Ovis aries: one gene and its partner. The protein of the gene in region 2 interacts with the protein of the main gene of each other region in a pairwise test. Links are inferred from orthologs where the notes say so. Each region holds a gene or a part of one and is shown on either strand. Other genes may lie near its edges.

Region 1 (6,472 bases), on a different chromosome or scaffold from region 2:
ATCTGTTATTGCAAATAGTGCTGCAATGAATAGCTTTGTGCATGTTACTTCCTATTTTTGCCATCTTATTTCTAGGAACTTTACTTCTATTCTAACTTAGTACTCACAACAACTATGCCGTAGATACTGGGTCTTCATCTTATGTATAACTTTGATGTAATGAATCAAGTGCTGCAGTACACAGCAGTCCAGCATTTGCAATAGCACATTATAGAGTAAGTCTTTAAAACTTGGAATAAACACCCTCACTCCTACCTTACCGTTCTTCTCCCAATATACGGACATCTCTTCTCAGAGAAAAAGAAGTTATTCTGTCAAGTTAAGCACCACAAACGATAAACAAGGAGTTTAGTTTAATTTTCTCTGGGTATTTGTAAAACACTTAGGGCCAACATAGGAAAAAATAAAATAAAATACAGCCTCCTGTGAAAAAATTACACTTACAAAAGAAAGGCCTGAGAGGGATTAGTGCCTTAGCCCCTCGGAGCTATAGCAACTCTGATTGGTCCAAGGAAGTGAATAGATATTGGGAGGCTACAACAGGAGGAAAAACAATGAGAAATCACTGAGGGAGAGGGCCTCGAAGTGGGCCTCGAGGGGGCACTGGAGGTCGGGGAGTAGGTCTGGGTGGAGGGAGGGGCCCCCGCTGGTAGCCGTAGGGTGGAGGTCGTGGAGGGCCAGTGTATCCATGAGGAGGCATCAGTGGAGGAGGTCCACGCATACCATGCGGAGGCATAGGACCTGGGTGACCTGCAGGTAAAAAAGGAAAACAAAGTAAAAACAAGGAATAGGAGACAGTTCATATTGGGACAATGTAAGGAGAGGATACACTGGGAGATAGTGAAAAGAAAGAGAAGAAAAGAAAGTGCAGGGGATAAGAGGTGTGACAAAACAAGCTGCAAGAACAATATGTGAGGATGAGGGAGGTGGCTAAAGACTACTCACCCATAGGAGAGCCAAACGGAGGCCCTCGGGGGGGCATGCCCATTGGAGGAGGTCCAGGATGAGGCATTCCAGGTGGTGGTCGGGGTGGTGGCTGCCCCCCAGAGCCAGGCGGCCCAGCGTGGGGGTGCCCTAAGCCATGAGGGCCATGGTGGGCCAGCTGCATCTGAGACATCCCTATGAGAACAAAACAAGACACAGTGAGAAATGAGACAAAAGGAAGTTAGAAGACAGGAGGGCAAAGAAGACAGAGAAGAAAATGAAGAAAGTGACATCAGATAGAATACAGAAATTAAAGCTGGTAAAAAGTGCCCTTATCTTTGACTCCATCCCAAGAGAATAAATCAACCAACTACCCTACAGCTCCCCAGTCCCTGAAGCCCATTTGCTCCTTCCATGATTTAGGCATTGTAACAGTGCTGCAGAATGGCGTGATTATTCTACTGAATAGAATCTGGGAAGATAACAGAGACACTGTCACAGCAAAGATCTAATTCTAAAGGATGAACAGGAATTTTTCAGGTGGACAACAGAGTGGGAAAAGAACATTCCAGGCAGAAAAAAATCAGCAGGTGCAAAGCATGGATGTGATCAACAGCACAGTATGTTAAAGGAAACCCAGTAGAACAGCTTGTAGTCATGGGAGTAACAGGCAGGAGCCAGATTATGCAAAGCCTAGAATGCTATGATAGCGAGTTTGGGTTTCACTCTGTAAGTAAAAAGGAACAACCAGAAGAATTTTGAGCAAAGGTGTGTGAATATCTGTATTTAAGAAAAATTACTCTGAGATAGTCAATCAAAGTAGAGATAATTAGAGTCAAAGTGTCAGTTAGGGTATTACTAAAATAAATTAGGTGTGAAATAATGAGGATAGGAGAGCCTGGGCTTCCCAGGTGGCGCTAGTGGTAAAGAACCAATGCAGAGAGCCTGTTGTTCTCTTTGGTAAAACTTAAACAAGAAATGAAGACAGCATGATGGTTGTTAAAATAAACGGTAAAGTATCTTGCATTTTTTTCCTAAAAGAATGTCTGAAAGAAAGGAGAGCTTGGGCACTATCTATTATTGTTAAAGGACAAAGAACAGCAGCATTAAGTGCTGACAGAGCTCCTCCATCAAGCTCATCCCTCTCCTTCCCAGCAAAGAACGCTCACCTGGATGGGGCATCCCACCAGGTGGGAATGGGTGAGGATGTGAGTGTCCGTGTCCAGGATGTCCAGCCCCTGGGGTTCCCGCTGATGGGGGACCATGTCCTCCAGCCCCAGGAGGCATAGGTGGTGGTGGCATGGCTGGGGGTATCCCAGGAGGAAGGGCTCCAGGAGGTGGTACTGGAGGTGGGAAGGAGCCAGGAGGAGGCATGCCTATAGAGAAAATGGAAAAACAGTTAATGATAGTGAGCAGAGAGTGCCTTTAGAGAGCCTGTTCCACCCTGGCCTCTCCAGGCCGAATGAGCTCTTTTCCCCTCCTCCCAGCTCTCTGAAGTCAGCGGCAACATTAAGTGACTTGAACAACAACCTTCTGGAGAAAACTCAACAACTTTCTTCCCACCACAATCATCATCCCTCAACCCCTTTCTCATCACCTAATGACTCAATGTCCTCTCCTTGCCAGGTTATTTTTCCTTCTTCCTGGCCCCACCCTTCCCAACCCAACACAAACATTTTTTATCAAAAGCTTTACCTGGTGGAGGAAGCCCAGATCCCAATGATGATACCACAGGATTGGGAGCAGATGGTGGAGGGGGTGCATCTGCAAATAGCTGATGAGGGCGGTCAGCCTGGGAGAGTGGGTTCTGTGCTGCCAGAAGTCTTTCAGCGGCTGAGCCATGGCGCTCACCCTTGGAGTCCTTCTTGAATGCGTAGGACACAGTGATTGGGCGGTTACAGAGGTACTGCCCATTCATGGCCTCAATCGCTGCATCCGAAGCATCAAATGAAGCAAAATTAATAAAGGCATAACCTTTGGAGTTGCCTGTGTCAGGGTCCCGCATAATCTTGGGGGTTTGTAAGATGACCCCAAAGGCGCTAAAAGTATCATAAAGCAACTTCTCATCAATCTCCGGGTCCAGGTTCCCAATAAAAATGTTGGCCCCCACATCCAGGTTTTTGTTGTGAGCTGATGCCTTGTTCACCCGTATTGGCTTCCCATAGAGTTTGATCATGTTCATGATCTTAATGGCATAGTCAGCATCTTCCTCACTCAAGAATTCCACAAAGCCATAGCCTGGGGAAGTGGAAAAGAAGAGGTTAGCAACTGAAGTGATTTAAAAACGAGTTTATAACTCATTTGTCTTCTAAAGCACAAAGGATAAGAAATAATAATCCCAACTTCAATTGAGAATGGTTCCAGAAACAAAATCTTTAGTTTGCTCACTCCAAAACTTAATATCACTGGAGACCTCCAGGAGCAGTCTGTCCCTTTCATAGATAACTGTACTTTTTGCCGTGTACTCACCTTGGTGCTGACCAGTGACTCTATCCTTTGGCATGTGCGTGTTCACTACTGGTCCTGCCTGGAGAAATAGTTCCCACAGCAGTGGTTCGCTAACCTTCTCATCGAGGCCCCCCACGTACACAGTGGCATCTGGAAGACAGGATTAAGAGGTAAGGACAGAGATGAGGGGAAATAGGGAGGTAACGGGAACATGAAGATGGAACCCAGGCGGAGGAAGTGGACGTGGAGATGGGGTAGAAAAGCGAAAAAACAAAAAGATGTTAGATTAAGCTTTTAGAAGCTCCTCCTTTCCAGAAAATAGACAATCTTATGTCTAATTTAGAGTGACGGTGCAAGTTCACTCTGTAACTTTTCTTTTTCTTTTTTTTTTTTTTGAGTGGGAAGGCAGCAGAGGACTGGACACAGCATCACAACTATAGGCCTCAAGTCTGTCCATCCCGTCCCCATAAGGCATCGGGACCAGTCTGGCGCCCTTCGGAAAGGCAAAATCTCCCGCCCCAGCGGAAACATTGCTGGGCCTAGTCGAGGTCCCTCAAACCCCCAGAGTCCATTCTGGGTCTGTCCCCTCCAGTCACCCTGGTTTCGCTCGGAGATCGGCCCGGCAGCCATGGCGAAAGCGCTCCCGCCGTCTCCAGGCAGCGATCCCGCCCCCTGACCTCAGTCACTACTTCCGCTTCCGAGGCGAAGGCTGACGTGAGGTGGTGGGCGGGGCCGCGGCAGGGGAGGAGCCGGAAGCGGCCTCGGCCATCTTAGGAGACGCTGAGACTGGAAGCGGCTGAAGTAGCGGTGCGCTTCGGTCCACGCTCCCGTGCAGAAGTGCTACTATGAGCGGACGCGGCGGGGAAAGTGAAAAGGAAACGTTCTGTCTCTTTTAAGGCAGTGCTAGAAGTTAAAGGGTCACACTGCTCCCGAAACTGTCACTTCAGAAGCTGGGAGAACAAAACTTTAGTTTTCATGTGTTTTGTAGCCTTTTTTTCCCCCTTAGAAGGGTGTACAGAGGAACCGCTCAACGCAAGGCGTGGGGAGAACCGTCCATCCCAACCCGCAGTCCTTGAACAGACGCGGCCTCACAGCCCAGGCCTGAGCTTGAGGTATTTCCTTTTTCCTCAGGGAAGGAATTGTGGAATGTCTGAGCTCGCCTAGTCACTGCATAGGAGGGGAACCTGAGGTTCGGAGGTGGGGTGGTACCGAAGTTTACGGGGGTTTGATACTGAAGCCCAGAGGCCGAGGCCGAGGCCGAGGCCGAGGCCTTCAGAGCACACCCTGAACTCCAGCAACCTCTGGGCGTGCCTTTGCCCTGTCTACACGGAAGAGAGGACCTTAAATTGTGAATCCTGCAGCGCCTCACGCAGCCCAGCCCCTTACTTCCTTAGCAGTAATATGGTCGGTACCGTCCCTTCGTGGGTCACATTCCTTTCCCTCCTCTCCCACCACTCCCTTACCTAAGGTTCCTTTAATCAGACACAAACAATGCCAGCGGCGTGTATAAATATTGTGCTTTAATGAACTCCTTAAATAGAAATGTCACAATGAAAATATATAATTGGAAGAGATAGGGTGTCCTGTGTATATTCCATACCCATAGAAAACTATAAGGGAAGAAATAGAAATTGGAATTAAGCAGCAAGAGGAGGTGAGAAGGAGGTCTGTAGGCCATCTTGTTGGCACTGATAAACAGTATATCTGATTATCACAATTTACCAGCGCAATATCCAAAATTTCCATCCCAAAGACATGGAATTGCCCTGAAAAAGAGAGGCAGTCTTCTGGATTGTTGTTGTTTCTTAATTCTTCAAATGATAAGAACTGTTTAAACCAAACAAGGCAGGATAAGAGTTGGATAAGGTTAGCACCACTCATCCTCAATAGAAACTCAGGTCAGTGATCTTGTTTATGAAAGCTGAGGCAGCAAGACCAGATAAGAAAAACCGAAGGATTAGACAAAACTCTCCCTCACCCCAGACCACCCTCTGCCCTGCCCATGAGAAAGCCAGCAATTTCAACGGGATTGGGAGAGAATGGTATTTGGGTTTCTTTTCTTGGAGTGATCCTCGGGAGATATTCGTGGTGTCCATTTCCTTAATAACTCTTGAAGATGGGATAGCTCCTCCTGGAGACCAGAGATTGTGGGAGCTGAGAGGCCCATCTGGGAAGAGGGTGAAGAGAGGCAGAGAGGATCCTTAATTCTCTTAGTTCCCTTTCCTCCTCCAGCTATCCCCTAGGTTCCACTTGATATAAGCCAGAAGCAGTTTTCCCACACTCCCAAATCTATCCGCTTTGATACCAATAGGAATGGTATCTAACTTCCCAGTCCCCCAAACCCTTGCCCTTCTGCTCCTGGAAACATCTGGTTTCTCCTAGAACATCTGGTTCAAAAGTCAGACCCCTTCTCCCACTCCCAATTTTTGCCTTCCCTTCTCACCTGGACCTCAGGCCTTCCCCTCAGGTAGCAGCGTCTCCAGAGCCTGATCTGGGGTCCCAGACATCCAGGCAGCAGCAGTCCCGGGGGTAAAGGGCAAGCTCCCCAGTGTGAGGGGAGCCCCCACTCCTGATCAGCCAGGCTTTCAGAAGAGATAGCAGGTCGAGGGAGCCAACGAGAGGAGACTGCCAGCAGGGAGGGACTGTCCCGCCAAGGACAGAGTTGATTCAGGGGTGTCAGGGCCCCTCTAGAGAAGAGCCACACGGAACTGGGGGGCCCAGGAACCATGAAGCTTGGCTAAGGAGGAACAGGAAATCAACTGGCAACTTAGAAACCTGATGACCCCCAGTTTCCCCAAACTGGGTCATGAAGGAATGTCCAGCTGTCACCCACTGCACACTGTACCAGTTATCAAACTACAAGCCTTCCCCTGAGAACACTTTATCTGCTCTCCTTATTAGACTTCAAACTAGGCCTCAGGACTGATTAAAGTTGATTTTAAGGAAACATAAAAATGTGTGCATGAGACAAGAAGACTAATAAGGATGAGGAGGACCAAAAAAGATGCCATTTGTGATTTGTAGGATTTCTGTCTTCCTGGGGACAGTTAGGACTATAAATGACACCAGAGGGGGAATGAGGAACTCAGACACTATCACC
Region 2 (6,443 bases):
TTTAAAAGTGGACTCTAGATGGATTTAAAGACCTGAATGCAAAAGGTAAATAAAGTTAGGGATCCAGAGACAGGAATAGAGAAGATTTTTCAAAGGACAGATTTTAAGAAAAAAAGTGATGAGTTTTAGCACACCAAATGTAAGAACAGATATCCACCCTTGAGAGAATTATTAAATAAGAGGCAGCAGACACACCCCATGGTGTCCTTGGGACCAATTAGAAGCAAAGCACTGACATATAGGTAGCAATACAGACAGATCTTTAAAATGCAGTGCTGAATAATATAAAGCTCAGGAAACAGAATGAAAACTGTAACATTCTGCCATTTGTGTAAATTGAAAACACTCCAAACAAAACCACATATTTTAGAAGGATACATTTCAAAGACAACAGAGCAGCTGCCTACAGCTATGGGAATTGCAAATAAAACAGGAAAAAATAAATATGGCAAGAGGCGGTCTTGTACCAACCTGTGACAGAAACATACCTTGAACTGGAAAAGTATGATTAACTCAAACCCTTGCACTTGAGGTTCTTTAAAAGCCCAAAGAAAGCCAGTGGCTTTACCTTGTAGTGAAGTCTGAGGCAAGTAAGCTACCTACTCAAAGTTAGAAATTGCCACACAGCACTACTATTGAATACCATCCAAAATCGAATGCCTTTCACAAGACATTTTGAAAGGTCAAGGCTGAATAACACCTGATGATAACCACATCTCAAATTCGGGCTCATCACTTTTCAGAAACCAAAATGTTATAATTCTACATGTTTCAAAAGGGGGTGGTAACAGAAACACTTTGTAAGGCAATAAAAAAATTATTTCCTCCATGACTTTTTCATAAATCTACTGACTTTTGATAGAGGCTCTCTGGGACAGTTAGGTCTACTTTTCTATACAATCTTTAAATATCAGGAATGAATCATCTACATTAGAATCAAGTAAGGTGATCCACCAGTATGGTAAAGGTATGATCTAGGATCTCTGTATTTTACCAAGTGTCCCATCTGTTTCTGGTTAGTCCCAGAGTTTAAAAATAACTGGATGAGTGTCCACACCAACTTCACCCCATCCTGTCCCCGAATCCCAGATCTTAAAAAGACCGTGGCTGAGTAATACTATCTGACCTGGTTTGCCCCATACATTTTCTGAGCAAATTTCTGACTCTGAAGGCAACCCCTCCTCCATCCATCCCTCAAACCCAAAGCTATAGCCCACACCTCTCCCCTGAGAATCCACAGGCACTTACAACCCAACAACTGCCCACCTGTCACCCACCTCTGTCTGTCCTGTGGTGGCTGTCCATACCTTCCATACCTACCTGGGTCATCCATCCAAAGTGGAAACCTGGGCATCAGTCTCCATGCCTCCCTTTCTCTTGATCCCTTCCCACCCTTCAACTGCACGTGGTGCCTATCAACCAGAAACTGTGTGGCCTCCCTTGTGAGACCCTAAGTGAGGAGAAGGCTGCAATCTTATTTGTCTCGTTTATCAATGCACTCCCAGAGCCCAGTACATGTCCTGGCTCTTGAGTGCCAAGTACATGTTTGCTGAAAAGAAACCAATCATCTGCGGCACTGTTTGGTTTTTTCTTGCCCAGATGCCCCCTCCAAGCACTTTCCTGGATCGATTCTCACACAGGAACAAACCTAAGCTGCTTGGGAGAGGGTAGGGGTTAGAGGGGAACTCACCGTCTTTCATACTCCATGTCCTGACAGGGCCTGCGAGGGCTGCTGGGGCCCCTCCTCAGCCGCTGGCTCCGTTTCACTTCCCAGCCACCCCCAGTGCTGCCACCATGATCTGCCAGCCTGGGTGATGCCTCCTGCAGGGACTCTGGGAAGAGGAGAAGGAAGAAAGAGGTCAGGGCAGTTGTGACAGAGAGGGTCTCCTTGAGAAACGCTTGGTGCCGAAGCTCTCTGCTGTCCCCAAGCCCAGCAACGCTGTATCCCAACTCCTAGGGCTCCTGAGGATTGGAGCAGGAAGGCAGCCCTTATTTGGCCTGCTGCTTCCCTTCCCTACAAACGCAAGGCTAGAGCCGGCCACCCTGGAAATAGCACAGCCCTCGGCAGGCACGGAGCATCTTGCAGAGAGACCTGGTGGTGCCACCCATCCTGGGATCACGGCTTTGCCATCTGAGACTGGTAGACCAAGCCTGGAGCTACTTGCCCGGGGGTGGGGGTGGGCTCTCGGTGCTGGACGACTTGTCTGAGATTGGGCACACTAGGCATGGAGGCAAGTTTTCATGACAGGAGTCCCAGGCACCCACCAGGCTCCTTCCATGAGCTGCCAGGTGCCATTTCATCCTCCCAAGAAGATGCTGGCTGCCCACTATGAGACAGCAGGAGACCATGAAAGGTTCCGGGGGTAAAGGGGCGAACTTGGCAATGAGACAGCTGCCGCCTCCCTAGGCTCTGGGCCAACACAGTTTTGGCCCTCACTCGGCAACTGGCTCGGCCCTGAGCCTGTCTCTTATGCACAGCCAGGTTCCCCAAGACGGCTCCCTACCCAGGGCTCTGGGCCCAAGTATTTCAGAGGTTAAAAGCAGCCCTTTTGGAGCCTGTTTTGAAGCATTGTATTATTCTGCTGGAATGGGAGAGCAGTCACTTCATGGCAATCCTCAGTGCTGCGGTGAGAACCAAGGAGGGCCGAGAGCCATGTGACCGGGCCAGGGGTCACCACAAAGTATCCCTGAATCTTCAGGCCCCACCCTCTAAACAACAATCAAGCAAAAGCCAGGCGTTAACAGCACCTGCCCAACACTAGGTTGCCACCACACCTTTCCTTCATGTATACATTCCTGCCAATTTTCTCTTCCTCCTAAAGTCTCAGGGAATGAGAGTTACCTGCTCCCAGATGGGTAAGACTTAGAATCACAACCAGGGAACCCAGTGGATGAGAGCCAGAGACAAAACCCTCAGTATATCTGGCAAAGGCATCCATAACAGATAGGGACCCAAGTCACAGGCTAGAGCCCCGAAGAACTACAGGCCAAAACCACGGACAGGGACCCACAATAAATACGGGTCATAATCACACAGGCCCCCCCTTTCACAGAATAAGCATTAGAGTAACCAATACGAACCTCCCCTCCCCCCAAAAAAAGGAGCAGTCAAGTCTTACACACCTTCCTTGCACTTTCCTCCCCCACCCAGTAAGTGGATTATGGCCAGTCCTAATAAGACTTTCTATGGGTAAGGACCCCTTCCCCATGGATAACCAGAGTTACAGACAGAGGTTCCGAGGATAGAGACCCGAGTCAGATCGACGATCTCCCTTCTCCTCCACCCAAGAATAAGGACCAGAGCCACAGAACACTTCCCCATGGGTTGGTTAGTACCAAAGTCACACACGAAAGCAGAGAGCACACTTTTTCGGCTAAAAAGAAAAGTCGCAGACAGCGGCCTCCCACGGAAAAAGTTCGGCGTCGCAGACACAGTGAGCCATAGGAGCCCACTCCCATCCGTCCCTCCCTTCCCCCAAGCCGCGTGCACCCATCCAGTGCCCCAATCGCGCACGCGCCTCTGCTCTCAAAAGGAGAAAAACAAAAAACAATAAAAAAAAGACACCCTCTCCCAGGCTCACAATGTGCAAAGCATCGGTCGGTTCTGCGCGAAGCCCAGACCCATCGACCACAGTCCGCCCTCGTGGGTCCTCTATGCAACCCCCTCCACCCCCGGCCCCTTACCTCCACCCCCACGACCAGCGTCGACTCTCACCTTCTGCGCCCGGGCTGTCAAGGGAGGGCTCCCGGACATCACCTCGGCCCGCCGCCACCTCCTCCAACTCTTCCAGCTCTGCCCGAGCCGGTCCGCGCAACTAGCAAGTCCGAGGCTGGAGGCAAAAGGGCGGAGGAGGGGAGGGGAAAAGCGCCAGGAGCGCTGCCCTCCCCGGGAAACCCACTGTCGCCTACTCCCAGCCGGCCGCGATCACCAACACAAAATGGCGACGATGAGAAAGGAGCCGGCGCTTCGACCACCATCCACCTACTAAGGGAGCGCGCTCTGGCCAACCCCGTCTATTGGTCGCTGTCAGCCCTCGGTCATCCCTGGCCTATTCTGATTGGCAAGCATATTGCCACCCCTTGCGAACGCCCGCAAGTCGAGAAAAGCGGCAGCTATTGGCCAATCCGGCGAGGCTGGCGTTTTAGAAGCTTGGCTTCCTTCGAAGATGAAAGACCAACGGAAGCTCCGCCCCTTTCGCCGGAGGGCGAGGCAGCTCTCCGCGCGATTGGTTGGGAACATCCACGCATGTGTCATTGCTTTCTTTTCGTTAAGTAAATTCCAGAGCCTAGCGGTCAGAAGTTCCATAGTCTGACTGAGAGGATAAGAGGGTGGTTGATTCCCTGAAGTCATGACAGAGTGAGGCAAAAAGAACCTCTCACCCGTTCGAAAGCAAAGTCCTGATTCGGGACCTATTTCGTGCGGCGGGGGCGGAGCGACAACTCTCGCGCTTAGAACAACTGCAGCTGCGCGGAGTCACACTTCCGTCCCCGACCCCGAGAGCTTGCAGAACGATCTGTTATGGCGGCGGGGATGTTGGGTTTGTGCGGCCGCCGCCTTTTGGCAGTAGCGGCGACGCGAGGGCTCCCGGCTGCCAGTGTTCGCTGGGAATCTAGCTCCTCCAGGGCTGTGATCGCCCCGTCCACTCTGGCGGGAAAGCGGCCGTCAGAACCGACTTTACGCTGGCAGGAGGACCCAGAACCCGAGGACGAAAACCTCTATGAGAAGGTGAGAGGGAGGGGAAACGGGACGCCGGAAGGGTCAATCGGGGACCGGCGGATAGGGCGCCGTAGAGGACGGTCTTAGTCGGCTGGGAATTGCGCAGCTGGCGAAATCTTCGAAGATTTGGAAATTCTGCCTAGCTTGTTTCCTCCTTTGTACGGGTTCAGGGTCAGAGATTGGCCTTATTTTGCAGACAGACATCAAACCTGAAGTGGGCAATGTTCAAAGCACGTTTGAAGCAATATAGAATAACAATGTTACTAAACACTGGTGTGGTGCTTGCTCAGGTGTTTGAAGCACTTTACATACATTAACTCATTTAGTTCTCATAATAACCATATTTCGAGGTAGGTGGTTTTGGTGTACCCATTCTACAGATGAGGAAACTGAAGCATAAAGATGTTAAGTGACTTGCCTAAGCTCACATAACTGAATGTGTGGCAGAACTAGGTTTGCTGTGCTATCTGATAGTGGACTGAAATCAGAATGCCATAGTTGGAATACAGGCATTGACCTTGGGCAAGTAGCTTAAGCCCTTGATGCTTCAGTTTCTTTGTAAGATAGGGAAAGTATTAGGACATTTTCTAAAAGAATAAAATACTATATGTGCCTCCGGTATTTAAATGAGTCAAAATGCTCAAAACGGCAGCTGGCACTTAGTACAAATACTCACCATTAGAAGTTTGTTTGTTTGTTTGTTTTGCCACTTTCCACCTCAGTGGGTTATTGTGCAATTTGTGCTTGTGAAAAGGCCTGGCATATAATAGATGCTTCATCCATACTGACCCCTTGTTGAGGGGCTTGGATATATAGGATACTCATTCATGCATTCTGTAGCTATGCATTGAGGGCCTGCTGTATGCCAGGCTAAGTTCAATGTGCTATAAATTCAGCAATATAGAAATCAGATAAAGCCCTTGCTTTCATAGAGCTTATGTGGTACTGGAGAATATAGAAAATAAACATGTAAAATATTAGAAAACAGTAAGATAGGGTATGCAACCAATAATATAATGTGATCAGAGTATTTGAAGGATATGATACTTTGGTAAACAAATAAATGCTTGAAAGAAAGTTAAATAAGATAAGTGGATGGAGAGTTATAGGGATAGGAAGTTATGAGGTTGAAGAAATAGGAAATAGCCAATATCAATCATTTTTGACCTGTAAAAATGTCAATTTCCTATAGGTCAACTTAACAGATAAGGTGACTAGGGAGTGCCTCCTAAGGGGAATGAAGATGAAGCCGACAGCTTGAATAAGGAGACAGATCCAGCCCCGACTAAATCTGGGGGAAAGGCTTTCCAGACAGAAGGAACAGCAAGTGCAAAGGCTCTGTAGTGGCAAGGAGCTTGACAAGTCCTAAGAACAGACAGGAATTTAGGGAGGGAGGAGAGATTGGTTCAGGGTGAAGTTGGAGACCAAGTTATACAGGACCAGCATCAGGCTCTGTGGAGCAGCAGGAAGCCCTCGTTGACTTCTCTCTGCCATAGAACCCAGATTCCCACGGTTATGACAAGGACCCTGCTGTGGACGTCTGGAACATGCGAGTTGTCTTCTTCTTCGGATTCTCCATCGTCTTGGTCCTTGGCAGCACCTTTGTGGCTTATCTGCCTGACTACAGGTGTGTGGGGTGTCCAAGAGAGTGGGATGGGTGGGGACAGAGGCAGGGGTGGATACTGTAGGAGACTGCCAGGAGTCCATTCCCTGGGGAACTAAGATG

Evidence for each region.
Region 1: the proteins of RBM10 (region 2) and SF3B4 interact in binary tests that used the Homo sapiens proteins (3 or more experiments, as listed by UniProt). The link is inferred for Ovis aries from reciprocal best matches to the Homo sapiens genes RBM10 and SF3B4.

Annotation. Positions count from the first base shown.
Region 1 is NC_056054.1:100,032,050-100,038,521, forward strand, and holds SF3B4 (splicing factor 3B subunit 4), read right to left. Parts: upstream 4,040-6,472; 5' UTR 4,003-4,039; coding exon 3,969-4,002; intron 3,523-3,968; coding exon 3,394-3,522; intron 3,163-3,393; coding exon 2,620-3,162; intron 2,301-2,619; coding exon 2,094-2,300; intron 1,120-2,093; coding exon 946-1,119; intron 751-945; coding exon 563-750; 3' UTR 337-562; downstream 1-336. UniProt on the Homo sapiens protein: Component of the 17S U2 SnRNP complex of the spliceosome, a large ribonucleoprotein complex that removes introns from transcribed pre-mRNAs.
Region 2 is NC_056080.1:57,655,909-57,662,351, forward strand, and holds the start of RBM10 (RNA-binding protein 10), read right to left. Parts: upstream 3,988-6,443; 5' UTR 3,755-3,987; coding exon 3,685-3,754; intron 1,833-3,684; coding exon 1,691-1,832; intron 1-1,690. Other genes in the region: NDUFB11 (NADH dehydrogenase [ubiquinone] 1 beta subcomplex subunit 11, mitochondrial), read left to right, coding at 4,520-4,726, 6,214-6,344. UniProt on the Homo sapiens protein: Binds to ssRNA containing the consensus sequence 5'-AGGUAA-3'. May be involved in post-transcriptional processing, most probably in mRNA splicing. Binds to RNA homopolymers, with a preference for poly(G) and poly(U) and little for poly(A).